4 linked regions of the Notamacropus eugenii genome follow. The protein of the gene in region 4 purifies or fractionates together with the protein of the main gene of each other region. This does not show direct contact. Links are inferred from orthologs where the notes say so. Each region holds a gene or a part of one and is shown on either strand. Other genes may lie near its edges. The genes, in order: AGO2, ATXN2L, G3BP2 and DDX6.

What was found.
Region 1: the proteins of DDX6 (region 4) and AGO2 purify together in Homo sapiens (affinity purification with western blotting; 5 studies listed by BioGRID and IntAct, with this or other methods). This does not show direct contact. The link is inferred for Notamacropus eugenii from reciprocal best matches to the Homo sapiens genes DDX6 and AGO2.
Region 2: the proteins of DDX6 (region 4) and ATXN2L purify together in Homo sapiens (affinity purification with mass spectrometry; 6 studies listed by BioGRID and IntAct, with this or other methods). This does not show direct contact. The link is inferred for Notamacropus eugenii from reciprocal best matches to the Homo sapiens genes DDX6 and ATXN2L.
Region 3: the proteins of DDX6 (region 4) and G3BP2 purify together in Homo sapiens (affinity purification with mass spectrometry; 3 studies listed by BioGRID and IntAct, with this or other methods). This does not show direct contact. The link is inferred for Notamacropus eugenii from reciprocal best matches to the Homo sapiens genes DDX6 and G3BP2.

What each region holds. Positions count from the first base shown.
Region 1 is NC_092875.1:95,717,333-95,724,459, reverse strand, and holds the start of AGO2 (protein argonaute-2), read right to left. Parts: upstream 3,015-7,127; 5' UTR 2,660-3,014; coding exon 2,638-2,659; intron 1-2,637.
Region 2 is NC_092872.1:46,614,937-46,622,727, forward strand, and holds the start of ATXN2L (ataxin-2-like protein), read right to left. Parts: upstream 3,012-7,791; 5' UTR 2,771-3,011; coding exon 2,484-2,770; intron 1,594-2,483; exon of another isoform or gene 1,222-1,593; intron 665-1,221; coding exon 628-664; intron 469-627; coding exon 412-468; intron 329-411; coding exon 257-328; intron 1-256. Other genes in the region: uncharacterized protein, read right to left, coding at 7,013-7,791. UniProt on the Homo sapiens protein: Involved in the regulation of stress granule and P-body formation.
Region 3 is NC_092878.1:151,664,796-151,671,793, reverse strand, and holds the start of G3BP2 (ras GTPase-activating protein-binding protein 2), read right to left. Parts: upstream 3,010-6,998; 5' UTR 2,736-3,009; intron 1-2,735.
Region 4 is NC_092876.1:280,063,648-280,070,706, forward strand, and holds the start of DDX6 (probable ATP-dependent RNA helicase DDX6), read left to right. Parts: upstream 1-4,036; 5' UTR 4,037-4,144; intron 4,145-4,293; exon of another isoform or gene 4,294-4,547; intron 4,548-4,981; exon of another isoform or gene 4,982-5,065; intron 5,066-5,237; exon of another isoform or gene 5,238-5,359; intron 5,360-7,059.

The sequences.
Region 1 (7,127 bases), on a different chromosome or scaffold from region 4:
AATGCTGAATTCTGTAAGTTTCTCCCCAAAGCTACTCTTGACCAAGACAGCGTCATATAGCACCGTTAATTTTTTCCCCTCACCAAAGACTGAATTTCACCATTTCATACAACATTACAATCACTTGCAAAATCAATGTTATGGGTTGTCTCAAGACTATCTCTGGAGAACTGCAGTGTTTAAAATCTTAGTATTTTTATATTCTAAGAGCCTTCAGATTTTTAAGTTTGGAACATGACTAATTCATGACATTATCTAATGTACCTTTAAAAAATGCCAGTGTATTAAAACCAAAATAATCATTATTCTTTCAATAATTAATAAGCACCAGTTTTATTTTTTTCTAAAGTTTAGTATGGTACCTTAAGATAAAGCAGGTTTGAGACAGAAATTCGACATTTACATATAATAAATGTAGGGATAACTATATGTAAAAATATGAGGTGCTATGAATGCTGAGGTGGAGCTCTGAAGGTGGAATAAGCATGTTTTGTCAAGGATAAAAAAACAGCCACAGAGCAAAGGCTTAAAAGTGGAAGGCCAAAGTGTAGCAAGAAAATCTCCCTGTAGTGTATAGGGTGTTAGATGGGTGTAATGAAACAATAAGCACATTTAAGGTGTTAGCAGATAGTGGAAGTCTTAGAACCAATCCTTGTTCTGCTTGGTATAATGAGTGTGATTCAACATCTCTGAGAAGACCAAGTGGAGATGCCCGTGGATCCACCTGACAGAATTGTGCCTTAAGACATTTAAAAGGAGAGACCGAAGGTAAGGAAAATATTAATATCTTGACAATCACCATGCCCAGTTGCTAATCAAATCAAGAGTTTTAAATCCCCCTTGCCATTCCTGCTCCCTATTTAAGCCGTTTGTGATGGCTTCAAGCTTTTGAAAACTTGTCTACAAAATAAAAGGGACTAACTAGGAAAAGAAGGCGCTAAAACATCAGGCCTTGTAACTTTCATCAAGTAAATTCTAAAAGGAAAAGTAACACATTAACAAAAGATGGCAAGATAATTTAGAACCATGATGACATATGTAAAACACAGACAAATGTTTTAAGGATTTCAAATCCCTATCGGGAGAAAGTTTGAATCTCCACCAATTGAATTGGCTACAATTCAGCCCTTCCAGACCGGCCTCACAGGGGAACCAGAAAAACTCTTGCAAAAAAGAAAAAAGACCATGAAACTGACTTCACTCAAGAAGGTTTAGGACAAGATCACGAATCACCATCAATAAGTTCTCTTTCCTTCGAGCATGGCATTGGGAATCTAGTACTATTGCCACCCGCCCCCCCAACCCCAAACAGGAACTTGAACCAACATAGTAATGAGGCGACGGGAAGGAAACCCTGAGTAGAGCTGGAGAAGGAATTTCCAACCTCCCACTCCTTCCCTCCCCGGATCCCTGGCCCAAAGCCCCCAGATACGAAGCCCACGGATTTAATCCGATCCATGGCGGGAGGCAAGGGGGGGAAGTTCAGGCATCTGGAAGGAAGAAAGATATACCAAGCGTTTGTTTGTTTTGAGAGGAAACCAGAGTAGGCTACTGCTCTTCCCAAGTCTTTCCTCAGCCCCTCAGGCTCCTCGTGGGGCCTAGGCGCAGTCCCAGAAGCCGCGGGGGCTGCAAACCCCCTACGGCCAGACGTCTGGCGAGGAAAGCGGGAGGGCGGGCGGCGGTGTGCAAGGTCTACACTGTGGGGCGGAAAGAAACAACTGAGTCCCGTCCTCGAGTAAGGAAAGGGATATTTCGGTTTTGTCTTTGTATCCCCGGCGCCTGACACATAGAAAGCGCTTAATAAATGCTGGCTCGATTGGCTGTAGTTTTCTCAGCTACTAAGCACTTTAAAAAGGAGGGAGTCCAGGCAACTCGGGAGGGGAGGAGGAGACGGCCTAGTGGAGGGAGGTGTATGAGTAGCTGTGGGTTTAAGTGGTGGCGGTGGCGGCTATCTGGGGACTGGAAAAGGGTTGTGGGACTCAGTTTAGCGGCCGCCACTTGCCGCCCCCCCCCCGCCCCCGCCCCAGGTAGGAAGACGACCCTCAGCCGAGAACCCAATAGAACTGGGGATGGCCCGCCGCACCCTCGGGACTGGAGCTAGGAGCAGAGACTGGGGCCTGGGGCTTGCGAGTAGGAAAGTCGGGGGTGCGCTTGGCTCCCGGGGTGTGTATGAGTGCGCGCGCCCCGCACTCAGCCCCAGCAACAGCAGCCGCCCAGCGCCTCGCGCTCCCTGCGAGTGTGTGTGCGTGTGTGTGTGTCTAAGTGCGCGCTCCCCGCTCTCAGCCCCCAGCAACAGCCACCCCAGCCGCCGCCTCCGAGCGCCTCGCGCCCTCCGCTTTGCTCCCGGGGTGTGCGCGAGCGAGAGGAGTGAGGAGCGCGCGCTCAGACTCAGCCCCTGCCCCAGTCGCCCCGCCAGCGCCTCAAGCCCCCCGCTTCCCCCCTGGGGTGTGAGTGTGAGTGTGTGCGTGAGTGTGAGCGCACGCGTCCCGCTCTGAGCCCCACACGTTTCAAAAGGGGGTGCGAAAAGAGAGAAAAGCCACCCCTCCATCTCCAGACGGCCTTCTCCTTGCCCCCACACACCCCCACCCCGAACCGGTAACCACGCTAAGAACCTGAGTAAAAAGCCCGGGTACTCACCGGGTCCTGCTCCCGAATACATGTCTGTCCTGGGCTGGGGGGCTCCCGGGAGCCAAGGAGTGAGAATCAGGCCCCCCCAACGCAGCAGCCGCGAGCGCGGTCCGACCCTGCGCCTTCAGGCGGGCGCCTCACCAAACAGGTTTACGCGACACTGTGCCGGCAGAGGAGTGAAGGGGAAGGGAAGGAAGGAAGGAGGGAGGGAAGGAAGGGGGAGAGAGAGGGAGGGAAGGGAAGAGGGAAGGAAGGAGGGAGGGAGGGCCGGCCAGCCGCCGGGAGCCGGGGAGCCGTTGTAGTGCCGAAGAGGGGAAAAAAGAGGAGGAGGGGGGAAAGGAAAGCTACTTGCGACCAAGAAGGGAGGGGGGGAACCCAGCCCTGACTAAATGAGCATGCCCAGTGGTGACGGCTGACGAGAAAGGGGAGCTTGCAACGTGCAGTGCGGGCTGTACAGTACAGACCGCCTAGTTTTCACAGAGGCCATACGGGGGTGGAGACGGCGGGAGGCGGGGGGGGGGGGGTGGACGCGGGGGGGTTGAGGGGGGAGTGGGGCCTGGGTGGAGGAAGGAGAGAGGAGGAGCTGGGGTAGTGACGAGAGTATTAGGCGGGGCCCGGCGTCAGGTTCAACGCTGGGTCTAGGCTGGTAGGCGGGGGAGCCTAAAACCCAAAGCGGCTAGGGGGCGGGGGGGCAGGGGGGGGAACCGGCTGTGCTGGAGAGAAAGGGCAGAAGGAAAAAGGATCTCTACAGCCAGCAGATGTTTAAACTTAGCCACCCCTGATGGTAGCTCAGGTTTACGTTAGCGCGCCGAGAGATCTGACAAATGTTGGCTGACAGGCTTGCAATTTTTTTTCTTTTTTGGCGGGGAAGATTGGTTGGGGGAGGGGAAATACTTCGGCGGGTTATGAGGTAGGAAGGTGAAAGGGTAATCTCTTTTCCCGTGTTCTTGAAGATGGAGAAAGAGGGAGAGGGAAAGGATAGGGAAGATATAGGGTTGAACTGGTCCGTAGAGCAAAGAGAATTGGGGTCTTCCTGAAAAGAGAATTGGGGTCTTCCTGCAACCTGTAGAGCCTCTCTCATGGAGGCTACATTTCTGCCAGTATCCTTCCCCTTCCATTCCTGCTCTGGTCTAATGTGATCCTGGGGGAGTTAGGGTGGTGATTGGGAAGTGGGTTTTCGGGAAATAGACAACAACAGTTCTGGGACAACTAGGCAAGCCAACTACCTGAGGACTCGGGATATTCTGTATTATTTACAATTGCCAAATGCAGGCAGTGCTAAAATTCACAGTAAATGTATACAGCCCTTACTACAATCTCCTGCTCATCATTTAGACTTGGAAATGCACTGAGCTGATGGATGTCAGAAAGCTTTATAACTGTCTTGTATTTGAACTTAGGCATACACCCTGTTCAACCAAACAAACACATGACCAATACGCCACCTCCTGGCCCAGCCCAAATCCACTCTTGAAGACCCAGAAGCTAAAATTAGCACCTTAGACTCTCAGAAACAGAGTCCAAGCCAGATCTGCAGTGGCTTATGTAGGCCTAACTGATAAGGATCTCTCATAGGACCAATCTCAGATGACTTTTAAGAACTTAACCCTGTTGCAAAGGTCAAATAGCCCTTTTTCCTATTTTTTTTTTTTAAATTCAACTCCAATCTGATAGGTGTGAACTGGAACCTCAGTTGCTTTAATATAAATTTCTCTTATTATTAGTGATTTGGAGCATTTTTTTTAACATAGCTCTTGATAATTTGGATTTCTTCCCTTAAGAACTATCTGTTCATATCCTTTGAAGGTTCAATGAAATGGCCAGCAATGATTCCAAAGTAGGGATGATGAAGCATGTCATTCACCTCTTGACAGATGATGAACTCAAGATACAAAATGAGACATACATTTTAGGATATGACTAATATAAGGATTTGTTTTGCTTAATTATGCGTATTTGTTAAAAGGGTTTTGTTTTCCTTTTTTTGAGTTGGGCTTTGAAAGATGGGAAAAAAGAATGCTTATTAATTGACAAAAAAATTAATTAAAAATAGCCTCTATTGACAGTCTCTCTTCCCTCAAATCTATCTTGCACATCATCTCCAGTCTAATCTATTCTATATCAGTTTCCATGCCATTCTGCAATCTACTATCTACCCCTTCAACAACCCGCGATGATTCTCTTGCATATATTTATTTGCCATTTATACTGTTCTGTAAAAGTTTCATTTCTTTTTCCTTAGCCATAATGTTAGTTATTTGACTCACCAAATTCTCACCTGTGACTCCAAGAAACTGTAGCATGCTTAGTGATCACACTGGTAAGATGTCTTAGAAGATGTACTAAACCAAATTGAGGGTAATCCGAAGGCCTCAAACCCATCAGTGAATTAGGGAATGTCTACCCCAAGCACATGAAGACTCCTCAATGTAATGGGCAGATGAAAACAGTTTGTTCCAGCAGTCATGAAACTGACTGAAGCATGCGTTGTAGAATGCTTAGAGCTTGGTCATCCAAGACACCAAGTCACCCACTGCATCCAGGGCTGTAGCCCTTCTCTGGACAAGAGAGTGAGGCTGATGATTTTGTGCAACTCTGCCTCACTTAAATCCAACTCACTCATGAGTTAAGATATCACTCCAAGAGATTGGAGAGGGAAGAAACTGGAGATAGGAGAGCCAGTTAGGTGCATACCGCAGAACAGAGATGGTGAAGTCTTAAAGGGGAGCAGATGTTTTATGAATGAAGAAAAGGGAATGGATGTGAGAAATATTATGGGGCAGGATCAACAGAACTTGGTAGTTGATTAGATATGGGAGTTGGGGAAGAGGAAATAGTTAAGGATGATTCTAGGATTGCCAAAGGATAGATGAGAAGGATAGGGACACAAAGAGTCACACACAACTGAAAACAGCTGAACAAATGTGTGGCCAGTGCTTTGCTAAGCCCTAGGGATATAGTGGCAAAAAGGAAATCCATTGCTTTCATTTCGCTTACCTTCTAACGGGGAAACTCTGAATTTCTCCATATCATTAGTTATTAATAATCATTTCTCTTAAGTGAGTATAAGAAAGGAGTCTCAAGGATGATTTTAATGATATATGCTTAAGTGACTGAAGGATGTTTTCAACATTAATAGAAAAGTTGGGAAGAGGGGATGATTTAGGGGTAAAAATAAGTCCAGTTCAAGATATCTAAGAGAACAGGGCATGCTGGCACAAACCTGTAATCCAGATAATGGGAAAGCTAAGGCCAGTGGGATCTCTTGAGCTCAGAAGTTCTGAGATATAATGGGCAAAGCTGCTCAGTTGTCTGTACTAAGTCAACAAAAATGTGTTGAGCCCCTGCATGATGGGGAGCCATTAAGTTGCCTAAGATGTAATTGACTGGCCCGAGTTTATAAATGGGTAGGTGAGATCAGAACCAGGAGTAGCCCCTGAACTTCTAGCTAGGTGAAGAAGGGAGACCTTGTTTTAAAAAACAGCCATAAATTAAAAATAAAATAAATTTTTAAAAAGCAACCAAACGATGTCTAAGAGGCAATTGGTGATATGAGAGTAGAAGTCAAGAAAGAATTTAAACCTGGGCATGTAGATCTAAGAATCATTCTTCATGGAGATGAGATGGTAGTTAAACCCATGGACTGATGAAATCATGAAGTGGAATCATCTAAAGGGCCTAGGACAGAACCTTGAGGGATACCTCCAGTTAGTGGGCATGACTTGGATGAAGATTCAGCAAAGTGCTACTAGATGAAAATAAATAACGTCATGCAGTAAATATTTTGTTATTGGCTAAAAGAAACAAATACACCTCTGGTCTTATATGTAATAAATACTGCACAGTGAGCCAGTGCAACAGTGAAATAGTTGAATTTCAGGAGTTTCCAGACTCAGGAGCACTTTGAAGCAGAACCTTACTTATATCTCTCCCCCTCACCCTGCACCTCCCATTCTCCCCTGACCGTGTTATTAGGAAGACTGGATCAGGAGGAAATAATGCATCTAACTGGGAACTGAGAAATATACACAGGACAAGATAAACACACTGAAGACAAGCAACTTCAGGAATCTGCAATGGTACTGACTGTCAGAGTCCACAAAGTTACATCTAAAGGGAACCTAATGAGTATTCAGAGAAGAAAGAAAAGAACTTCCAGTAACTTGGAGCTGTGAGTTATTCTTTTGACTTCATATGTGTCCTATTTGTGTCCCTCACCATCATTGTACTCTAAGTTTGAGCTCACTCTTCCAGTGGACCTGTGTGTATACAAAAAATGTGTGGGAAAATATGCTCCAGACTTTTAAGAGATATTTCTATACCAACTGTTCTTAATAAATGACTTTAGTTGATGGCCTTTCAAAAAGCTAATTAACTGGCTGACAGTTAATGAAAAGCATACTGGATGGAGTCACATGAGCTACAGTACTAGAAACCCTAATCCTTCAGGGTTCCCTCTAGAACCCTGAGAGGAGAGATACACATCCTCTGGTGATCTG
Region 2 (7,791 bases), on a different chromosome or scaffold from region 4:
CTTAACGATGAAAAGAAATCAGGCTAGAGATAACGTACAAACGCACACCTGCCCAGCCATCAATATTTTTTCAAAGCTACAGCGCTTATTATGATGAAATATAAAACAATTATAGCAAGCAATGCTAGGCTAGGAACATCTGTACAGAATGGCAGAGTTTTTACGACGATCTTTAAGACTGACGGCACTGCATCTCCCACATACCACCCTTTCCAGCTGGTTCTAACTTCCAAGCCAGGTTGATGAATACACTTACCTTTGAACTCAGAGTCTTGAAAATACCTTCATATGTGGTACCATTTTTCACCTTTACATCACAAGTGGAGCCCTGGCAGAAAGAGCAACAATTAAAGACTTCACATTACACTTATTTAAGACCCCACCAAACTACTTTAGAAGACAGGTACATACCACAACAGCAGTAAGGAAGTGTAGCATCCTAGAGTTATTGTAGACACCCTCAAATACCTGAAAATAACACGGAGATGACAAATTAATGAGTAAAGGGAAGACGCTTATCAGGTATCCTAAACTTCTACCTTTCTGACATTTCTTTTGCCCGATTCCCCAGTGGTTCCCACTTCACCCTTTTACATCCCTGAATTTAACTACTGGAAAGGCACTCACAGGTGACGGTGGGGGCCCCTTTCCTGTGCTCTGTCCCCTATAAGAGAAAACAACAAGGACACTTTTAGTTATTCAAGTCTGCCCAATTCCCTCCTACACTCCCATCTACAAAGGGGTCAGGAACGTCTAACTCAACATACAACAAAAAAAGAAAGGTCCACATCTTTTACAGGAGTAAAGAAAGGCTGGATAAGAGACGTCCCTGGGCCTCATCAGGCACAGAGCAATGAAAGTCTATAAACCAGTACAGCCTTCAGGCTTGTCCACATCTTAAAAAGGCAAAGAACTGGAGGAGCGAGATGCATTATTTTCATTTCAAAGCCCACGGCCTAGCTCTCTGTCCAAACCATTCTGTGAGACGAGATTAAGAGGCAACCTTCCCGCAGCTCTCCCAAGGCAAGGGGACGGGGCTCAGGGTTTACAACACCCACAAGAACAAGGAAGCACATGGAGCCCATCTAGGACTGGCCAATCTAAAGCCATCACCCCAGAGTGCCAAAGGCACCTCTAGCAAGCCCCCGAGCTCGCCCACGGAAGACAACTGTCTCCACCCCTACACGAAAAGCCCCATTACCCATTCTGGGGAGAACTAACCGCCGCGGATACCAGGGTCCTCACAGGCTGATGTAACTGGCCGTTGGGGGGAGGGGGGGCCGTTTGGCGGGGTGAGGGGACCGCGCAGACGCAGACGCTATCCACAGGGAGGCCTCACCCATTCAGCGCTTGCGCACTACAGCCCTCAGGCTTCCTTCACGCTCGCTCGCCTTCCTGCCCCCAGAGCGCCTGCGTACAGCCTCAATAAGCTCCACGAGAGATGTGCGGTCCGCCGAGCTCCCACCCCCGCCCTGACCTTAGAAACAGACCGCAGAATATTGGACTAGACCGCGCCGGCTACAGCTATCCTCACGGAGCCGCCAGGAGCGCCGTCCTAACACCCTGTCATAAGACGGCACCTTCTCCACGCGCACGTACTGGGGTGCGCGCGCGCACAGGGGGTTATACAGGGTCTGCAGTTCCCTCCTTGGGGGGGGCGGGGGGAAGGCGCAGCCTATTTCTTCTCTGCCCATTGGCCCAACTATGGACTCCACGCCCCCCCATTGGCTATAGCTAGGGACCCCTTCCCGCCTCTTCCCACCCATTGGCTGAGCTTTGGGACCGCGAGACCCTTCACATCAATTGAGCCGGGGACCCTACTCACCTTTACCTCCCTCCTCTCCTCCTCCCCCCGCCCCCGCCATTGATGCACCCCCTTCGATACGGACACTGACACAGACACACACTCTCGCTCGCTCCTCCGAGGCCGGGGATGGGGGGCATTCCATCCTGCCCAGTCTACCCTTCCCGGTCTACACAAGGCAAAGAATTCCCACCTAGTCGAGCCCCCTAGGGCTAGGCTCCCTTCTGCTGAGCAACCTGCTGGTTGGCCAAAGGGCCGCCCCTTCCCCCATCCTGCCCCACCATTTAGCCCGACTTAGGAACCCCACTTCCACAATGGGATGAAATGAAGGATCCCCCCACCCTGCATTGGTTCGACTCAGGGACCCCATCTCCTCTATTGGCCAGACCGTAGGGGCACACGCCGCTTCCTCTTTCATCCCCATTGGCTAAACCCAAGAGCCCCCGCCGAACCCCTCCGGAAAGTTGGACCGGGGACCCTCAGCGTTGCTGCCCCCGGCACAACGGCAGCCCACCGCCCAACCCTGGCCACTGTCTCCCTCCGAAAGTGGCCGGGTCAAGGGACTCCGCGGGCTTTCCTTCCCGCCCCTTCCTTGATGGCAGACAGACGTTTACCAACAAGCAGGGGGCCCTCGGCCGTCCCACGTCCCGTCATCCCCCCTCGTCCAGCCCCTCTTCACCTGGTACTGCCAGTAGCAGCGCCCCCGGGCCGCTCCTGATGCTGATGTGTTGGCGGCTGTGGCGGCAGAACCCCCTCAGCTCCCCGGCGGAGCCCACTGCCTCCGGCAGGAGGCCCTAGGCCTGGGGAAGCGGCAGTGGGCGGCCCCGGGGCCGAGGCGGAGGCTGGGGTCCCCCCGAGGTTTCCGTTGGGGGGGCTGGTCCCCCCGGGAGGCCGGCGTGCTGGTGCCGGTTGCTGGATGGGTGTCTGCTGGGGCTGAGATGGCTGAGGCGGCTGCGGCTTCAACATGGTGGCGGCGTCCGGAAGGGGAGTTGGGGGGGGCAGGACTGGGCTGAGGCCGGGCCCGCCCGAGCGCGCGAGGAGTGAAGGGGGTTGGGAAGAGGGGGCGCCGCCGTTAGCGGGTGGGGGGGCCGGTGTGTGAGGGATACAAGGAGGCGGCGGCGCGAGAAGGCGCCGCGAGGCGGAAGGGGGGATCTCGCGGGCTTGAGGAAAGCGAGAGAGAGGGCGCGAGCCGGCGCGCGTGCGCGAAAGAAACAGTATGAGGCGGGGGAGGGGGAGTTAAGAGAGAGTGCGCGCGCGTACGCAAGCCCCCGGGAGCGAGGGACCGAGGAGACGCGCTCACACCTAGACGGTTAGCTCTAGGTTAAGCGAAAAGGGGTAGCAAAGAAAGGTGAATTTTGCGTTCCTAGTACACTGGGAAGACTCAGAGTAGGGAATGGGAGATGGGGGTGGGGGAGGGGGAATGTTGAAGAGAGCTAAAGGCGCACGCGCGCGAGGTATCGGAGTCTCTGGCGCGCCCCGTGACCGCCCGCTCGCCGCCGTCGCTTGACAATGAGCGTGTGAAGTACTGGGGGAGGGGCAAGAAAGGAGACCAGCTATAGGTAACCACTGCGCATGTGCGATTCTCCTACCTAGTACAGCCAGCGCCGCATGTGCAACGTCACAGTACTGCCGTGCAATCCCTTATCCTTCCGCCTTACCGGGACTCGTACAGGGATCGGTTTGAAGGCAAAAAGGCCCGGAGGGAGCGGGTGGCATTGACGTTTCCTCTGCAGTAAGGAGCCTACGTTTGTTTGTTAGCCCACGGAGAATTTATTTAGACTTTTGCTTCCCGTCCCTTCGACCTGCTTATTATCGTTAACAACTAACTACGTTAGTAGGTGTCTCGGATACATTCAGGAAGATAAACTATTTTTTAAAAAGTTGTGTTCCTTTATTAACAGCTCTAATGGAAAAAAGGGGGGTGAGGTTGTCTCTTGAAGTTACTGGTTAATAGGTGGTTTGGATCTGTTAGAAGAACAATTTTCTACATCTTTGTTTCGAGTCATGCTTTTCCCCAACTGATGGAACAAGACCCACCGGTCAAGTCATCAAAGTCCCGCAGGTTGGGAGGAGGCTTTGGGTGAAGATGTCGTGCAGGCTCTCATTTAAAATGAAGCCTGCCAGTTTCCTATGCTCTATTACTGTCTTCTCCATCTTTTCTTGGTAAAATTGGAAGACTAAACTCTCCCATACCGGAGAAATGAAGGCAATGTGCTCAGGAGATGAACAGGAACCACAAGTATGTTGGCTACAAATGGGTGATTCCTTAGGTTTAGGAGGAGCACTGGAAGAGATGATCTAGGCCAATCCCTTCATTTAAAGTCTAAGGCCCATCTTTATGGAATGAGAGAGGATCAAGAAGAGTGAAGGAATGGTAGTACTTAAAAAGAAGTATTTATGTACACAGTTTTTAGCATTTTTCTTCCAAAGGGTTTAAGGTAGTGGGGTAATAATAACTAAGGTTTACAAAATATTTTACAACTTCATATACATATATCTATATATGTGTGCGTGTGTGTGCGTATTTTTAAGTGTCCTAACCTTGAAAGCTAGAAGGAAGAGTGACCACAGGAAGGAAGGCAACAATATATACACAAATGTGCCTTCTCCGGATAGTTACATATGGAGGCAACAGTCACATCCAGAGATAAGAGAACTGGAAACATTTTAGGAGCCAGCCAATTCAGTAACAATCTCCATTCAGATTTTTCTAAAACAATTTGGATCTGCAATTAGACATTTTAGGTTAATCAGATTAGAGCTGGAAGAGGCTTTAAAGGTCATCTAAATCCACCTCCACTCCACACACACATACAGATGAGGAAAGTGAGGTCCAGACAGACAAGGTGATTGGCAGAGGTGCTACAAAGATTGAAAACGGGCAGATATCCAGACATTCAGCAGAATGGAAATCTGAAAAACATAGGCCAATAAATTCTGTTTTACTTCCTAGCAAAATCTAGTTGGTAAAAAAAAAAAAAAAGCAATAACTCCAAGTGTCAGCATGGTGTCACTGAGAATAGGTAATACCAAACTAAACATTTCTTTTTCTGATGGCATAATTAGACTTGTAAAAATAAGGGGTATATCATGCACATAGTTTACCCGATTTTAGCAAAATATATGAAAATGTATATTGTGGCATTCTTGCGGACAATGCAAAGAAATATGAGATGATGATATTTAGTTGGGTGGATTCAGGACTAGCCGAATAACTACACCCAAAGAGTAGCCATTAATGGTTCAGTGTTACCTTGGAAGAAGGTGTAATCAAGTGTCCCAGAGAGCTGTGCTGTTTAATATTTTTATCAGTGATTTGGATAAAGGCATAGATACCATGCTTACTGAATTTGCATATGACAAAGTAGAGAGTGATAGCTTCTAGGGCTCAAGAAACAAAAAAAATTATTAGGTTAGAATACTGGGTTAAATATGATATGGTAATTCTTAACTTTTTATTGGGTTTTGTAAATTTAAAAATTTTTTTAATTTTAATTGGTTTCCTTTGTAATCTTATTTTATCCATTTAAAAACATTCTGAGGAGGGGGTCCATACATAGGCTTCACCAGAATGCCAAAGGAGTCTGGGTCTACAATGCAAAAAACTGAAGAATCCCGATCTAATCCTAAGATATTTAATAGGGATAAGTATAAAGATTCATAGTTGGGTTAAAAATATCGAATTCTCAAGTGCAAGATAGAGAAGGCAGAGTTAGCCAGCAATTGTTCTGAAAAAGATCTAGGTGCTTTAGTAAATTGCAAGCTCAATATGGATCAACTCTGGGATATGACAAACAAAAAAAACCCCTAATGATCTCTGAAACTGTAGTGAGAGGCAGAGTAGCCAGGAACAGGCATGGGCAGGACATCTGGAGTACTGTGTTTATGTCTGGACATTCATCTTTAAGATCATGTTATGTGGATTGGCTGAAAGAGCTGGGGAGGTATAATCAGGAGAAGACAGGTAGATGTGACCTGAAGTACCCTTGATGGGACAGGGGTCATGTGGAAGGACTGGACAGCACTAAAAGCAGTGGATGCAAGGTGCAGAGGCAAATTTATGCCTGATATAAGAAAACTTTCCAGTCAAGGTTGTGAGAGCCTGTAAAATGATCTGTCTGCCTCAGGAGGTGGTGGACTCTTCCTTTTCGATGTCATCACACAAATACTGGATGACAATCTGTAAGGCAGTATTCTTGTTGGAGTATGATCTCTGAAGTCCCTTTCCACTCACCTGTGAACACTGGGTTAGGAAGAAAGGCCTCTAAACTTGTCTTTCCCCCTTCACGCCTCCTTCATTCTAGCTAACAAACATTTCTTGAATGTGCATTTCATGAATGGCATGAAAGGAATATTACTCAGAGCCCCAGGGAAGGTGGTGAGATAAATCACTCTCATTATACTTACTGAGCACCCATGTATAAATCAGGTGAACAGGTTTAAACTTATGTATGTATGGATTACTGTTTGGCAAAACCCTACCATTCATACCAAGTTATAAACAAATGTTATCTGAAGCAATCAGGCAGGTGAGTGCCAGAACGAACCTCAAAATTCATGTAAAATAATTGAACCATCTCCTTCACGTCAGGTGATATAAATAGTGGCTAGGTTCAAAACCTTGTGTTAATTACTGTGTACTGAATTTCCATGAACTGGGGACATTTCCTAAGGTTATCCTTCAATAATTACATTCAGTCCCCAAATCCCTCAATCTCTGACCTAAAAAAGGAAGACACTAGGCTGTTCCAGCTACCTAAAGTCAATGAAAAATATTTTAACTTTTCTCCATGAAACCTTCCCTGCAACCTATGTGCCAGGGTTTTATAAGTTCAGTTCTAATTTTCTTTTTTTGCATAGCCTTCTACCCTTTTCTCAAAGGATGTACCAGCTTCCCTGCCCTACGGCTCAACTGGTTGAATCCTTTGCACACTAAGCAACATGTTTTCTTATTTTTTTTCTCTTTCAGGAAGTGTTAAGAATGAGAGCACATTATCAGGCATTCTACCTATTTTGTTCTAAAACTCAAACTGACATCTGTTCCCCCATGCCACCTCTACCCCCAAATAAGCTGCTCTGTTAACATCATCAGAATATCAAGAGATGAAAGGCCTTTCAGAACAATTTATCTGGAAATTATGGTCACAAAGTCAGGAGGCACAGGGCTGAACTTTCCTTCCTATTCCTCCCTTGATTATTTCTGCTTGCTTATTTTTCTGCCCCCCTGACCTCTCCATCTGTCCCTGGGGCTGAATGATGTCTTCGTCTTGGGGAAGAACCTATGTCTCCAAGTGCCCCTGGGGATTGTTCTGAAAGATCCTCATCTGTCCTCAATGGATGGGTATCAATCTTTCCACTTGAGGCCCATCCCTCTATCCCTTCATATCCACTTGGGATTTGCTCTATGGCCTCTCCCTCTCCCTCCCCTCCTATGGGTTTTGTTTCATTTCCTCCAACTTCCTTGGAGACATGTTCTTCAGTGGTCTCTTCATCCCCTCTGTGGACTTCGGTTTTAGCATCCCCTCCCTGGGTCTGCCCTTCAGCATCTCTTCCCTTGATTTGTCCTTCGCTGTACCCTCCCTGTGCTTGTCCTTCACTGTCCCCATCCTGGGTCTGTCTTTCACTATCTCCTCCCGAAGTTTGTCCTCTAGTGGCTTCTTTATCTCTCTTGGGATCCTCTGTCTGTTTACTACCTTTGACAATCTGTCCTTCAGTTCCTATTGCATCTGCCTCCTGAAACTGTGTCTCAGTAGACACTTCAACTTCTTGCAGAACCTGTCTCTCATTCTCTCCATATCCTTCTAGGTTCTGTTCCTTACTTTCACCTGTCTCTACCAGGAATTGACCCTCCCTACCACCCTCTAATGCAAGGATCTTCTCCTCAGTCTTTCTACATTCTACATTGATTTGTCTCTCCATCCTCGCATACCTCATTTCCATTACCCCCACAGTCTTTCTATAGCCCTGCAGGAATGCAGCTTTTCTGT
Region 3 (6,998 bases), on a different chromosome or scaffold from region 4:
TAGTAGACTAAAAAAAAAATTTATTGACCTAATAATAGAAAACAGGTTAAGAGCTGGCAATTAAGCCTTGATTTTAAGGGATGTAAATGCAATATAAAAAGATATCCATCTTCAAGTCTTTAAAACACTCCACCTTTAACTCAATGGAGCTGTAAATGGCAAAAAAAACTTTTTAAAATGGCAAGAGCAGTTATTTTGCACAGCAAGAAGTTCCTTGCAGGCAGTTTTTGAATCCTCAAAGTCTTTCAGGGCAATTGGATCTAAGAGGCATTTTTAAATGCTTGCTGAAGAAAAAAGAAGTCAATGGAAGGATGGATTTGAAAATCCCAGAGAAACCAAAACTCAAGCATATTCTTTAATGAGTTTACAAAATGCTTGCTTGTGTGACAACCCTATGGGTAAGTCAAAACCCATTAAGTCTCAGTTTAATCACATGAAAAATGAAGAATAATATCAAAAAATTCAAAAGGTTTTGTGAAAAGAGGTTTCTAAGGCATGAATGCTATATTTGAGTAGAGATATAAAATTTAAATATTCAAAGGCTAATGATAAAACTTGAGTTAGCTGCATTAATAAAATGCTAAAAAAAAAAAAAAGCAACATTCTGAATTTTGTATAGTATATAAAATGCTGGCCACAATGAGAAAAAGATTTGAAACACAGATTGGATGTTACATGATGATAGGAATGTATTATTCAGTAGCTCAAACTGCCAAAAGAATCCTAATCTACATTTGAGATTAGGGTTGGCCTTTCCCCACACCTTTTCTACCAAGGATACCTGATATCAGTTATAAAAATCTCTTCTCTGCTCCCTACCATAATAATTTTTTTCAGTTGTAAACCTTAATGTTGATGGCATTAATAATTCTTTAAAACAGTTTCTCAACTTATATACTTCCACTTGAACCATGATAGACGTCAGATAGGCATACATACTGGACAACGAACTACAAAGGTTCTTAATGAAGCATTTCCAAAGTAAATCATCAAGGGAAATCAGGAAGACCACATATGGCCATCCTAGAAATAAAATGTTATTATATTAAAAGATTATTTCATCTGGAGAATCATCATCCTTCCGGGTTCAAATCCAGGTTACCTGTCAGAATTCAATTAAAAACAGCAGCTTTATTAGATGCCCAAAGGCCCACAGAATATTTAGCTAGGTCATTTTCTTCACATAATGAAGTTTAAATTAAGAGGCAAATATAGACTTGGGCAGGAATTTCCATACTCTTTCGGGAAAGCAAACTGTAAGGCCGTTCTCCCTTCAAAAGTATAGCATTACAAAGGTCCAAGTATATGCAATTCTTGCACTTTGATGAACAACTGTAGGAGGACGCTTCTGGTCATCCATCCGCGTTATATTATGCAACAGCATATACCATAATACCCATCCACTGAAATCCACTTTAACAGACACTTATTGAACATCTATTTCCATGCAAGGCCCTAGAGAGACAAAGATGAAGAACCTCCAGCAGTTGCTGCGCCGCCACCATCTCCGTTGTCGTCTCCTGTCGTCCTCCCACCCCCACCCCCACCCCCATCGAGGCCACAAGACGTAAGCTTCAGACGTTTACAATCTAGGAGAGGTTTAGATAAAACAAACACGGAAATAAAAAAAATGAAAAGTTACAACGTGATACAAGTTAGAACAGTGTAACATACATGGGTAAGAGAGGCAGAGAGGCAATACAGATTACTGCAAGAAATCATTTCCAGCTGGGGGCGGGGGGAGAGAGCAGGGGATATTTCTGAAGGTGATGCTTGATCTGGCCCTAAAGGATGTATGGAAGGAGCCTATTAGAGGCAGGGTGGAAAGAAACAGGATCTGGAATGGCTAGCACTGAGGTTTAGCTAGGGATGGAATACAGAACCCACGACGTGTATCATAAAACATGGCCGCAAAGGTAGATTGGAGGCAGACAGTGGTGGGCTCTAAAGTGAACGTGCCCATCACATAACAAAACCAAGAGAGCCTGGATATCACGATTAAAGGGAATCAGCACAAAATATATCACTCAAAAAAGGCAAAACAAAACATCCTCCCCCCCTAAAAACCCATTAAAAATTAGGTTTCACTATTTTTTATCTAAATAGAAACAGCCAAAAGGATGGCCTACCTATTTCCCCTACCCCCTAAATTAATTCTTCCCTGCAAATGTGCGGAGGAGAAACGCATCCTGAGCGAGTCCTGGGGAGCAAGTCCCTTCAGGTCCGTTTCCGGGTGTGGGGAAGGAGGGATGAGCTTCCAGCAGTGAGGGGCTGCGGAAAGGGAGGAAAGGCCTCCCACCTGCAAAGAGAGGCCGCGGAGGGGCAGGAGCAGGAGGAGGAGGGGGAGGGAGAGGGGGAGGGGGGAGGACCTTCCCCCTCCCCCACTCGGGGAAGGACGGATGCAGGAGGGGGTGACGCCGGCGCCCCCAGCCCGGCCGGCTCGGGGGCTGGCTGGCAGCAATGGTGCCCGGAGGCCGCGACTCTCGCCTGGCCCCCCCACCCCGGGCAGGGCGGCGCCGGCCGCAGCCGCTGCCCCCCCTCCCCCGCCCCGGGGCCGGGTCTACGCTCCCCGCTTTCTCCCCGGAGGCCCGCGGCGCCGGCCAGAACAATGTCCCGCGCGGCTCGCGCCAGACGGTTGCCTCGAGCCGGGGTGCGCCAGCAGTTAGTGCCCTCCCGGCCAACACACCAGCCCCCCCCCAGCTCACACACACATTTACACACGCACACACACACACCTCCAACCAACAGCGGCGGAGGCCAGCCGAGGAACAGACTCAGTTCACGGAAGAGGCTGCGGCGGCTGCTCCGCGTTCGCTCCGCTCGGCCCGGCCTCCCCGACGCAACAAAAACCCCCGGAGCGAGTCTCGGGCGCTGTCCTGCGGGGCGCGCGCACGCGTGGCTCTCTCGCTCCCTCTCTCCCCGACTCCCCTCCTTCCTCCGCGCCGGGCTCTGGCATTGAGCGACAGAGAACCCTGGGGTCCCGCCCCCTTTACCACCGCCCACTCTTATTGTTTTACCCCTGCCAGACCGGCTGGGGAGCCCCGTTGGTGCGGCCTCGGCCAACCACCGAGCCTCTCCTCGCGGGCCCGCCTTTCCTCTCCCCCCGCCCTGTCCCTTTTCTGAGCACGCGCACATCGCCGCGACCCTGGCGCCTGTTCTCGAGCTCCCTCTTGCTCGCGGCCGGGACTGGAGAAAACCGGAACCGGCCTCTGGAACGCCGCCCCTCCCTCCCCCGGCCCGCGCGCTCCCGCGACTTTGACGTCATTGGAGACTAGAAGCCGGGAGATGGGAGAAGGGACCCGGGTAGCTGGTCCTCGCCTAAAACCGGGCGGGCGCAGGAGGCCCTCCTACTGCAACATTGTAATCTTGGCAGATTCAAGGATACCATATTTTGTGCCAAGGGAAAGAAAGATGTAGCAATTTTGTCTACAAAGTTATTTACACGTTGCTGCAGTTACAGTTTGCAGGCAAGTGGTTACAGTTTCAGTCTAGTGTGGACCTTGGAGTTGTAGCGCAAAGAACCCTGGACTGGAGAGTTCTAGACCTAGTCTAGCACCTGGGTCCTAGTCTCAACTCTACCAGTAAGCTAACAAGCTTTTGTTAAATGCTTTGTGTTGGGTAGACAAAGAAAGACCAAAGTCCTTGCTCTCAAGAAGGTCATATTCTAGCAACGAAATATCCAACTGCTCGTTTTACAAAAACAAGTTACAAATGACATATATATAATTAAAATAGAAACAGAGTAGATGAAAGAACCTCAGAGGGGGAAGATACTAGGGAGGATTTGAGTTAAATTTTGAAAGAAGTCAGAGTAACTAAGATAACGAGGAACAGAATTCCATGGCTTGGGCCCATGCCGCCAATCCAAAGGCAGAGAGAGGGAGATGGAGTCCTGTGAAGAGTTACAAATAAATAGTCCAATGTAGCTGGATCATAGAGCATGGAAGGTTGTAAAGTGTAAAAATAAAAAGGCAGGAAGGTGCTAAGTTACAAAGGGCTTTGAATGCCAATCAGAGGACTTTGTATTGATTCTGGAAGTAATGGGGAACTACTAGAGTTTATGGAATAATGACTAGGCAGATGTAGGCTATAGGAAAATGGCAGATGAGTGGAGGATCAATTGGAGGGAAACACTCGAAGTAATAGTCCAGGTGGAAGGTGATCAGGGCCTGAAGTAGAGTGGTGGCTGGATGAATGGAGAAATGGGAATATATGGGAGAAATCCACTGAAGGTAGGAAAGCCTGGCAAAAAATTGGACATGTTGGTGAGTTAGAGTGAGGAATCTAAAATGCACTTTAGCCTGAGAGGCTGATAAGAACAACAGCAAAAATAATGAAATGGACAAAGGGAGGTTGGCAAGGGAAATAATGAGTTCTTTCCAAAGACAACTGTCTTTTGTGTCTTAATTAATTCTGTCTTAGTGTGGGATTGGAAATCTAGAGAAAGAAAAGTGCTGGATGAATAGATTTGGGTGTCATCTGCAGAGACAGCGGTTGAATCCTTGGGAGTTCATAAGAGGGAAACTCTTGGAAAAGGATTTAAAGGGAAAAGAGAGAAGATGCCAGGGCTGAACTTTGAGATACACTCAACGTTATTATTGGGTGTGAATAGGAGGATGATCAAGCAAAGAAAACTAAAGAGGAATAGTCTAACACGGATAGAAGAAGCTGGAGAAAGCAATGTCATGAAACCCAGAGACAAAACAATATCCAGGAAAAGGGGATCGACAATGTCAAAGGTTGCAGAGAGATCAAGAATGAAGAGGATTGAGAAAAGGCATTAGAGCTGGCAATTAAGAGGTCAGTGGTAACTTTGGAGAGAGCTGTTTCAGTTGAATGATGGAGTCTGGTCTGAAGCCTGGTTGCAAAGGGTTTAAGAGAGGTTTAAATGAGGGGTAAGGAAAGGAGTTTAGCCTAGAGGGAAAGGAGGACCAAATGAGGGTTTTAAAGAATGTTGGAGAAGTGAGTGGATTTGTAGGCTGGGGGAATGGAGCCAGTAGATAGGGCGTGACTGAAGATAAAAGAGAAAGAGGGAATAAGAATGATAAAAGAAGCCTTTTGCTTGAGTATAGAAGAGGGAATATGGGTTCAAGGATGCATGTCAGGGGTGGGGAACCTGTGTCCTCAAAGTCATGTATGGCCTTCTAGGTCCTTGGGTGCAGCCTTTTGACTGATTCCAAGTTTTACAGAACAAATCCTTTTATTAAGGGGGGGAGGGATTTTTCTGTGAAGTTTGGATTTTGTCTTTGCGAAGAGAAGGGAAGCCTTTTCATCAAAGATAGAAAGAAGTTAAAGCAATGATAATAGGGAAGGGTGTCTGAGGGATGGGAGATGAGAAGAGAAGATGGAGCTCATAGCAAATGACCTCAGTTTTTTCAGTGAAATATGAGGACAGGTTCCTAGCTGTAAAGGTGAAGGGATTACTGTAGAAACTTGAGATAGGATGATGTTTGTAGCAGCAACTGTGGAGAGTAAGAAAATGGCCTGTGGATGGATAGGCAATAGGTGATAAATCTGGATTGAATGTACCTCAAAGGAGGCAGAGGTTGCTGAGTGACAGCGGTAGATGGAGAGTCTCGAAATGGTAAAAAGGAAACATAGAATATTTGGATTCTCTCTCTTGACCAGTCAGAGTTTCCCCCTTTCCTTGTCTTGATCAATCTGCCTCTCAAGTAGCAGTGAATGTCAATGTTCAGAATAAATACTGGTCTTATGACTTTTTTCCCCAAAAAATTTCTTTATAGCCAGACTTTACCATAGTATAGTCAGTCACCCAAGACATGAGTGGTAAAGCGGGCAACTGTAAGCTAGCAGCCTTAAGTCCCCCAAGCCATACTGCTATGTTCATAAACATTATTACTATGGGCATGTAATAATATTTATGAACATAGCCTATGGGACACAGTAGTAGAAATGTCCAATAGGCAAATGTCCATGTCAGATGGGTAGTCAAGAAAATGATAAGGACTGAAGAATTATTGCAGTCTTTATATTGATTTCCTTAGTGCCTAACACAGTACTTGGTCCACAGCAGATTTCTCATAAATGCCTGTTGATGGAAGAATTGACCAGATATATAGATCTTGGAGTTATCTGACCAGAGATGAGAATTTAATCCATGGGAGCTAGTGAGATCACCAAGAATGAGAGTGTAAAGAGAGAATAAAAGAGGGCCTAGGATGGAGCCTTAAATTCTGTGATGTATGATCATCCATATGATGAAATACAATATGACACTCACTTAATTTTCACCTAGAACTATAAAATAAGAGGTTATCACTCTGGGCAGAGATTGAAAAAATTCACCAAATGAATCAATTTGTAACAACCATGACAAAAAAAGAGGCCTGCTAAGCAGAAAAGCAGTAAGCAGACTAGAAAGAGATGAAATCAATTGGGGGTAAAGAGATGAGGTTCTGTGCCTAAGGGATAGGGGCCTCTCAGTATCCAGGGGTCAGAGGGCTGGGCAGTGAACATTTTAGAGACGTTGGCAAGACTATTGTGGGTGGGTTCATCCAATAGCCATCCCTGTAAGAAGATGACTCCTAGCTCTGACTCCTCAGATGAACATCCCAAAGAGCTACTATGGTTGCAGTGAGTAGAATGTGATTTGAGGAGAAATGAAGGATAATCTTTTTCCAATGACTTATGGGAGTTTTAGTCACCTTGGAAAAGTGAGATGGTGAATTCCAACTTCCCACAGGGGTGGTCGCTGTTACCCCAAAGAGTAAATAACATGTAGCCACTTAGAGTGTTTAATACGGTCTTTTCGATTCTAATTTCTTTTAGTAAAACTACTCAAAACTATAATGGGAATATATTTCCCCTACATGAAGTAGGGAAGAAGATATAAAGTTTGTTGAGAAATGAGGCATGAGCTATATTTAGAGATTTTCCCGGAGTCCTTGAGGGAGGCAGAGTAACAAGCCAATTTGAGATAAATTTATGAAATATTATATGCAAATGATTTTACATTTTTAACCCTAGACTAGGCTGAG
Region 4 (7,059 bases):
GGGAATTGAGTGGCTAATGTGGATCTAAGCCCTGAGTGGCTCTCCTGGGTTGCAGAAGAGTGCTGGCAATGGAGGTGGGGGTGGCTCTGGAGAGGGAACCCTGCTGAAGATCCTGGATAGAACAGAGTACTTGTGGTTGCTCCCAGACCAGAGCACAGGCCAGGACAGGAGTAAAATTCCTCCCTTGATTGTGCTACTTTGGAGAAAGTGAGAACTTATAGGTCCCCAGAGTATACCTTCCTCTTGACAAAAGACTCAAAAGTCAAGTAACTGGCTGGGAAAATGACTAAAAAAGGGGAAAAAGAATACGACTATAGAAAGCTACTTTCTTGTTGAACAGGTATTTTCTTCCTTCCTTTCGGATGAGGAAGAACAATGCATACCATCAGAGGAAGACCTAGAAGTCAAGGTTTCTGCATCCAAAACAGCCAAAATAAATATGCAATGGTCTCAGGCCATGGAAGAGCTCAAACAGAATTTTGAAAATCAAGTAAGAAAGATGGAGGAAAAATTGGGAAGAGAAATGAGAGCAGTGCAAGAAAATCATGAAAAGCAAGTCAACACCTTGCTAAAGGAGACCCAAAAAAATGCTGAAGAAAATAACACCTTTAAAAATAGGCTAACTCAATTGGTAAAAGAGGTCCAAAAAGCCAATGAGGAGAAGAATGCTTTAAAAAGCAGAATTAGCCAAATGGAAAAGGAGGTTCAAAAGTTCACTAAAGGAAATAGTTCTTTAAAAATTAGAATGGAGAAGATGGAAGCTAATGACTTTATGAGAAACCAAGAAATTACAAAACAAAACCAAAAGAATGAAAAAATAGAAGATAATGTGAAAAATCTCACTGGAAAAACAACTGACCTGGAAAATAGATCTAGGAGAGACAATTCAAAAATTATGGGACTACCTGAAAGGCATGACCAAAAGAAGAACCTAGATATCATCTTTCATGAAATTATCAATAAAAATTGTTGATATTCTAGAACCAGAGGGCAAAATAAATATTGAAAGAATCCACCAATCACCTTCTGAAAGAGATCTGAAAAGAAAAACTCCTAGGAATATGGTAGCCAAATTCCAGAGTTCCCAGGTCAAGGAGAAAATATTGCAAGAAGCTAGAAAGAAACAATTTGAGTATTGTATAAATACAATCAGGATAACACAAGATCTAGCAGCTTCTACATTAAGGGATCAAAGGGCTTGGAATATGATATTCCAGAAGTCAAAGGAACTAGGATTAAGACCAAGAATCACCTACCCAGCAAAACTGAGTATAATACTTCAAGGGAAAAAATGGTCTTTCAAAGAAACAGAGGACTTCCAAGCATTATTGATGAAAAGACCAGAACTGAAGAGAAAATCTGACTTTCAAACACAAGAATCAAGAGAAGCATGAAAAGGTAAACAGGAAAGAGCAATCATAAGGGACTTTCTAAAGTTGAACTGTTTACATTCCTACATGGAAAGATAATATTTGCAACTCTTGAAATTTTTCTCAGTATTTGGATAGTTGCAGGGAGTACACACACACACACACACACACACACACACACACACACACACAGCACAGGGTGAGTTGAATAAGAAGGGATGAAACCAAAAAAAATAAAGGGGTGAGAGGTATATGTTGCGAGGAGAAAGGGAGAAATGGAATGGGGCAAATTATCTCTCACAAAAAAGGCAAGAAAAAGCTTTTTCAATGGAGAAAAAGGAGGAGGTGAGAGAGAAAAATGAAGCTTACTCTCATCCTATTTGGCTTAAGGAAGGAATAACACACTCACTCAATTTGGTATGCAAATCTATCTTATATTACAGGAAAGTAGGGGAGAAGGGGATAAGTGGGGTGGGGAGATGATAGAAGGGAGGGCAAATGGGAGGAGGGAGTAATTAGAAGTAATCACTTTAGGGGAAGGACAACATCAAAAGAGAGAATAGAATAAATGGGGCACAGGAAAGGATAGGGGAAATATAGTTAATATTACACAACATGACTATTATGGAAGTCATTTGCAAAACTACACATATGTAATCTATATTGAATTGCTTGCCTTCTCAGTGGGGATGAGTGGGGAGGGAGGAAGGGAGAGAAGTTGGAGCTCAAAGTTTTAGGAATAAATGTTGAGAACTGTTTTTGCATACAACTGGGAAATAAGAAATGCTTGTAATGGGGTACAGAAATCTGTCTTGCCCTACAAGAAAAGAGAGAAGATGAGCATAAAGGAAGGGAGAGGTGTGACAGAAGGGAGGGAATATTGAGGGAGCAGGTAATCAGAATGCATGGCATTTTGGGGTGGGTAGAGGAGAAAGATGGGGAGAAAATTTGGAACTCAAAATTTTGTGGAAATGAATGTTTAAAACTAAAAATAAATGAACATAAATAAATAGAAAGGAAAAAAATACCAGTTGAATGAGAGAAAAGAATTTTAAAATCCTCTAGTGAAAAAGGCAAGATGGCACACCTTTCCAAACACAATGTTTTTATACTTTGACCATTGACTAATGCAAAGACGCCCCCTGGACCAAGATATACTATCTTTGTAAGTAATCTTTCTTGGCACTAGACGAAAACCACCTAAGAATCTAGCAAGGTCTACTAGCAACTAACTTTGCACCCAGGAACAGATAAGAACTAAAGGAGGCCTACAAATGGTCCACAGCTGAGTTCTAAGTTGGCTGAGCTGTCTAGATAAGGGGCTAAAGAACTGCTGCCTCTGGGGTATTGAGGTTCTATTAAAACCTGCCATAGATAGATTGGTGGATGACTAAACAAACTGTGGTACATAAATGTAATGGAAATACTCTGCTCTAAGAGATGAGAAGTAGGATGAAGACGGAGAAGCACAGAAAGATATCCACAAACTGATACAAAGTGAAGACCAGGAAGATCACATATACCATGACTACAACAATATTAATAAATGAATAACCACAAAATAATTGAAAATAAATGCTGAAAAATTTTAAAACAAGCTTGACTCAAAGAAAAAAGATGAGAAAACATCTCCTTCTATTCCTTTGTACTAATGGGGGCCCCTTGTGTTTGGAAGATTGCATAAAATATCAAATATTTTTCCCACTTATTGGGTAATTTTGCTGAATTTTTTCCTCTTAAAAAATCTTTGTTATAAGGGATCTCTATCTGGGAGGAAGAGTGTTGAGATACAGGAGCGAAATCTAGGTGAGATAAAAACAAAAGACTGATAAAAATATATTAAAAATGAAATACTAAATCTGAATGGGAGAGCTGAAGAAGAATTACATTCATTGTCAACATACCTTTTTCAACCTTCGTATCCTCCCTCTCCTTCTGCTGAAACCCAAGGTTAAAGCTTTGTTTTCTTGACTTTCTAGACCCTCATTTTCACCTCTGAACATTGCAACCAAAGCCTGTTCTCCATTTTTCCATGAAACATGAAGAGGAGTTGAGGTCACTGGATAGAGACCTACATGAATCTCTTTCTTTGGGGATGGCCACAACAGACAATAAGCATTTATTAAGCGCCTACTAAGCACCCGACCAAGCCCTGGAGATACAAGGAAAGACAAAAGACTGTTTCTCCTTCCAAGGACTTCACAATCTAACGGAGTTAGAGAGATGAAGGAGAGTATGTAGAACGAAACATGATTTACTGGACAATTTGTTTTCCTTCATTATGCTGGTTACCAGGGTTTTCCTTCTTTCCTCTCCCCCTCACAGTGGCGGGTAGGGTTGTGAGGGGGGAGGGGAATACTATTTTTTTAATTGAGAAAAATTAATTTTTTAAAAAAAGAAAGATTTGGACCGCCTCTAAATCCCCTCCCAGCTGTAAAACTTACTAACTTATTATGGATCATCCCATGGGAGGTGGGGAGGTGGTTGGGGGGGAAATAGATTTTTCCTCATTGAAATAAATAATTGAAGAAAAGGTTTGGACAGGCTCTCCATGCTGCCCCGCTGCAAAGGTGAGCCGAAGCCATGGGGGTCCTGCCACAAACTCACCTCCTTGTTCTCACAGAGGGCACCGACCCCCCTCCTTCGTCCCGTCAGCGCTCACAATGCCTGGCAGCAGAGCTACCTGCCTGGAGAGAGGCATGTGTACATTAGGTATCATTGCCGCCGGGGCTCCCGGAAGACCCCGGTTCGAATCCCAGCTCGGCACTACCGAGGTTAGACTCTTTCCCCCTCAGACGGGGGTCCCCCGAAAGAGGGGCGCCGAGCAGCGAGCTCAGTCTCCCCGTCTGGGGGCTGGGAGGGTTACGGGGGAGCTTCTCTTGTTTACTCTTATCCTGGCGGCGGGCACCACCGGAAGGCGAGATTTTTTTTCCTGGCACTACCCGCCGGACGCTCGCCCGCCCCGCCGCCGAGGCTCCCCGTCCTGCCCGCAGGACGCGCCCCCTCGCTTCGCCCGCCCGCCTCACAGGCCGCTCAGCCGCCCCGGGGTGCGCGGGTGGGGGATGGGGAGCGGGCACCTCCGCGCTGGAAGCAGGGAGGGCAGCAGCTCGGCCGCCCAGGAGCGGGGGTGCCTCCCTCCGGCCACAAGCAGGCGGCCCCGCCACCGGGAAGCATCAGGTCGGTGGTCGCCCCAATTCTCAGCCCCGAGCCCCTAGCCCGCGCCCCCCGCCTGGGGAGGGGGCCGGGCGGGCCCTCGCGCCCCCGCCCTGCCTGCCTCTGGGCCCCTTTTTGAGGGCGCGCCCCATCCCCCCTGACGCCCCTCAGAGAGGGGCCCCGAGCCCGCCGTGCCCGCCCGGCAGCCCCACGTCCCGGAGCCCCTGCTGTCGCTGCCGCCGGCCCGACCCCCCGGCCCTGCCGAGGTGGGGGCGCTTGCCCCCCGTTTTCTCCTCAGCGAAGACTCGGGCCCCCGGTAGATGGGGCGGCGGCGGGGGCGGCGGCGGCGGCGCAGGAGGCGGCCCCGGCCCGGGGCTCGGCCCGAGCTCTCGCCATCTTGAGGGGAGGAGGAGCCGCGGCCGCCGCCATGCGGGGAGGCAGGGAAAGAGGGAGGGCGGCAGCGAGGGAGGGGGCGCGGCGGCGGAGTTGGCTCGGCCCGGTCGGCGGCTTCGGCGGCGCCATGAGAGCGGGGAGCGGCGGAGGTAGGCCGGGCGCAGCCGGGACGCCGGGCGGGCTGGCTGGCGGGCGCGCCGGGGCGGAGCGCGGCGTGGAGGCCCGAGGGGAAGCTGCTGAGGGGGCTCCGGTGGCCCTGGGGCTGGACTGGGCCGGCCCGGCCGGGCCGGGGAGGGCTGGGCCGGGGGGCGGGCGGGCGGAGGGTTTCGGGGAGGAAGGAACCGCCGCCATCTTGGGAGCTTCGAGTCAACAATAAAGGAGCCGGGGACCCTGGCGGCGGCGGCCTCGGCGCCGTGACACAGGCCCCAGCCGCGGCCAGTGGGGTGAGGCGCCGAGCTCGGCCGCTGCCGAGGCGCGGGGGCTGCGGGAAGCGGGCCGGGCCTGTCAGGGGAGGGGGCGCTCCGGGGCGGAGGCCCGAGGCCCGGTCGGGGCCTCGGGGGCAGCCTAGGAAGCGGCGGGGGCTGCGAGGGGTAGAATCCGAAGGCGAGGGCCGAGGGGGGCCTGGGACCGGGAACCGAACAGGGCGAGGAGCGGGCCCGCGCCAGTGACAGCTTTATAGGGACTGGGGGATGTGGGGGCCGCAGGGCCGGGGGACGTGGCGTCCCCCTACTGGGGCGGCGGGGGGGGCATACTGCGGCTCCCCGTGGACAGTCCCCTCTCCACCCTCCCCCCGCGCGTGGACAGTCGGGGTGCTGGAATGCCCTCCGTAGGTTGAGGGGGAAGGGGGTGAGTCTTCGGGCCCCGAGGGGGAGGGGGAATCCCCATTGTTTCCCGCTGGCTGAGCTGGCGGGGCCGCGGCTGCTCCGCCAGCGTTGCGCAGATCCCATTGCAGGGCCCCAGCCTCTTTGTTTTTAAGGCCGAAGGAAGCGGCTCGGGATGGAAAATAACCGAGAAATGAGCGGCGCACGGGCGGGGGTGTCCCCCGAAGTCGTCGTGCACTTCTCCCTTCGACTTGTCCCCCGCTTCGTTCTCTTCTCCGTCCTTCCAGACCCACCTCCCTCAGAATGAAAGCCCCCACCCCAAGGCTCCTCCTGGGCTAACCCTAAAGGGAAGCTGCGCCGCCGTGGCAACAAAAGCCGGCGGGGCCGAGGAGTTTTGGGGTGCGGAGCTGTCATTGGCGAGCTCGTGCAGGAAGCGCTGCCGCTAACTCAGCCTTCCTCTCTGCGCTCCGGTGTAATTTCTGAACATGCAGCCATGGAACTTGGAGACGGAACTTGGTCTGCTGAGGAGAAGGGGGGGATGTTATTGCTCTTGTGAAGCGGCCGTGCAGCTTCTCTCCCCGTTAGAAGTGGGGTCCCCATCGGCCGGCTGGGCGAGCGGGAGCGGAACGGCGGCGTTACCGAGCCGGACCGGGCGCCCTTGTCATGCCCGGCGCTTCGCTGGCGTTCAGTCATCCTCCCAGGCTCCTCGGGTGAGGGTGCTGGCGGTGTTGATGCTCGCAGTGTAAACCTGTCACAACAGGAAGCCTCCGAAGTGAGCGGCCGTCCGCAGGGCCGCGGGAGGGTTTGTTTTAGCAGAATTCTGGCCTTCTTAGGAGCAGACCGGTGTTCGGTAAAGGCCACCCAGCCTTTTCTTCAGGAGATGAGTTTTAGAGTCAGGGAACGTCTTCCTGAGAAGTTTCCGTCCAAGTCGTCTTGGTTTTCTTACACGCTGCTTTTGTCTGCATGAGCCTCGGTGTTTGTTGGCGGACCGAGCGTGGCTTACCGAGTTTTCTAAAAGGGCGCATGGCTCATCTTAGTGGGGGAAGGCAGCGTGGTCTGGGTGAACAGTCCGGCTTCTTTTTCCCGACGTTTTCAAGGCTGGCACGCGTAGTATTTCGCAGAACCACCGTCTGGTGTTTTTGTAGAAAGGAAGTCGGGCCCTTCCTTGCGCGCTTTTTGTTTGCTGCGCTGTGTGCGGTGTGAACTTGGACACGGCACTTTTAGAATGCAGAGCTTGCTCGAATTAAAATTTAAACGATTCAGGTAGCCTTTAAGTCCTCTGGCCAGTTTCCAAGCAGAAGCCTACAGTTTAAATTCTTAGA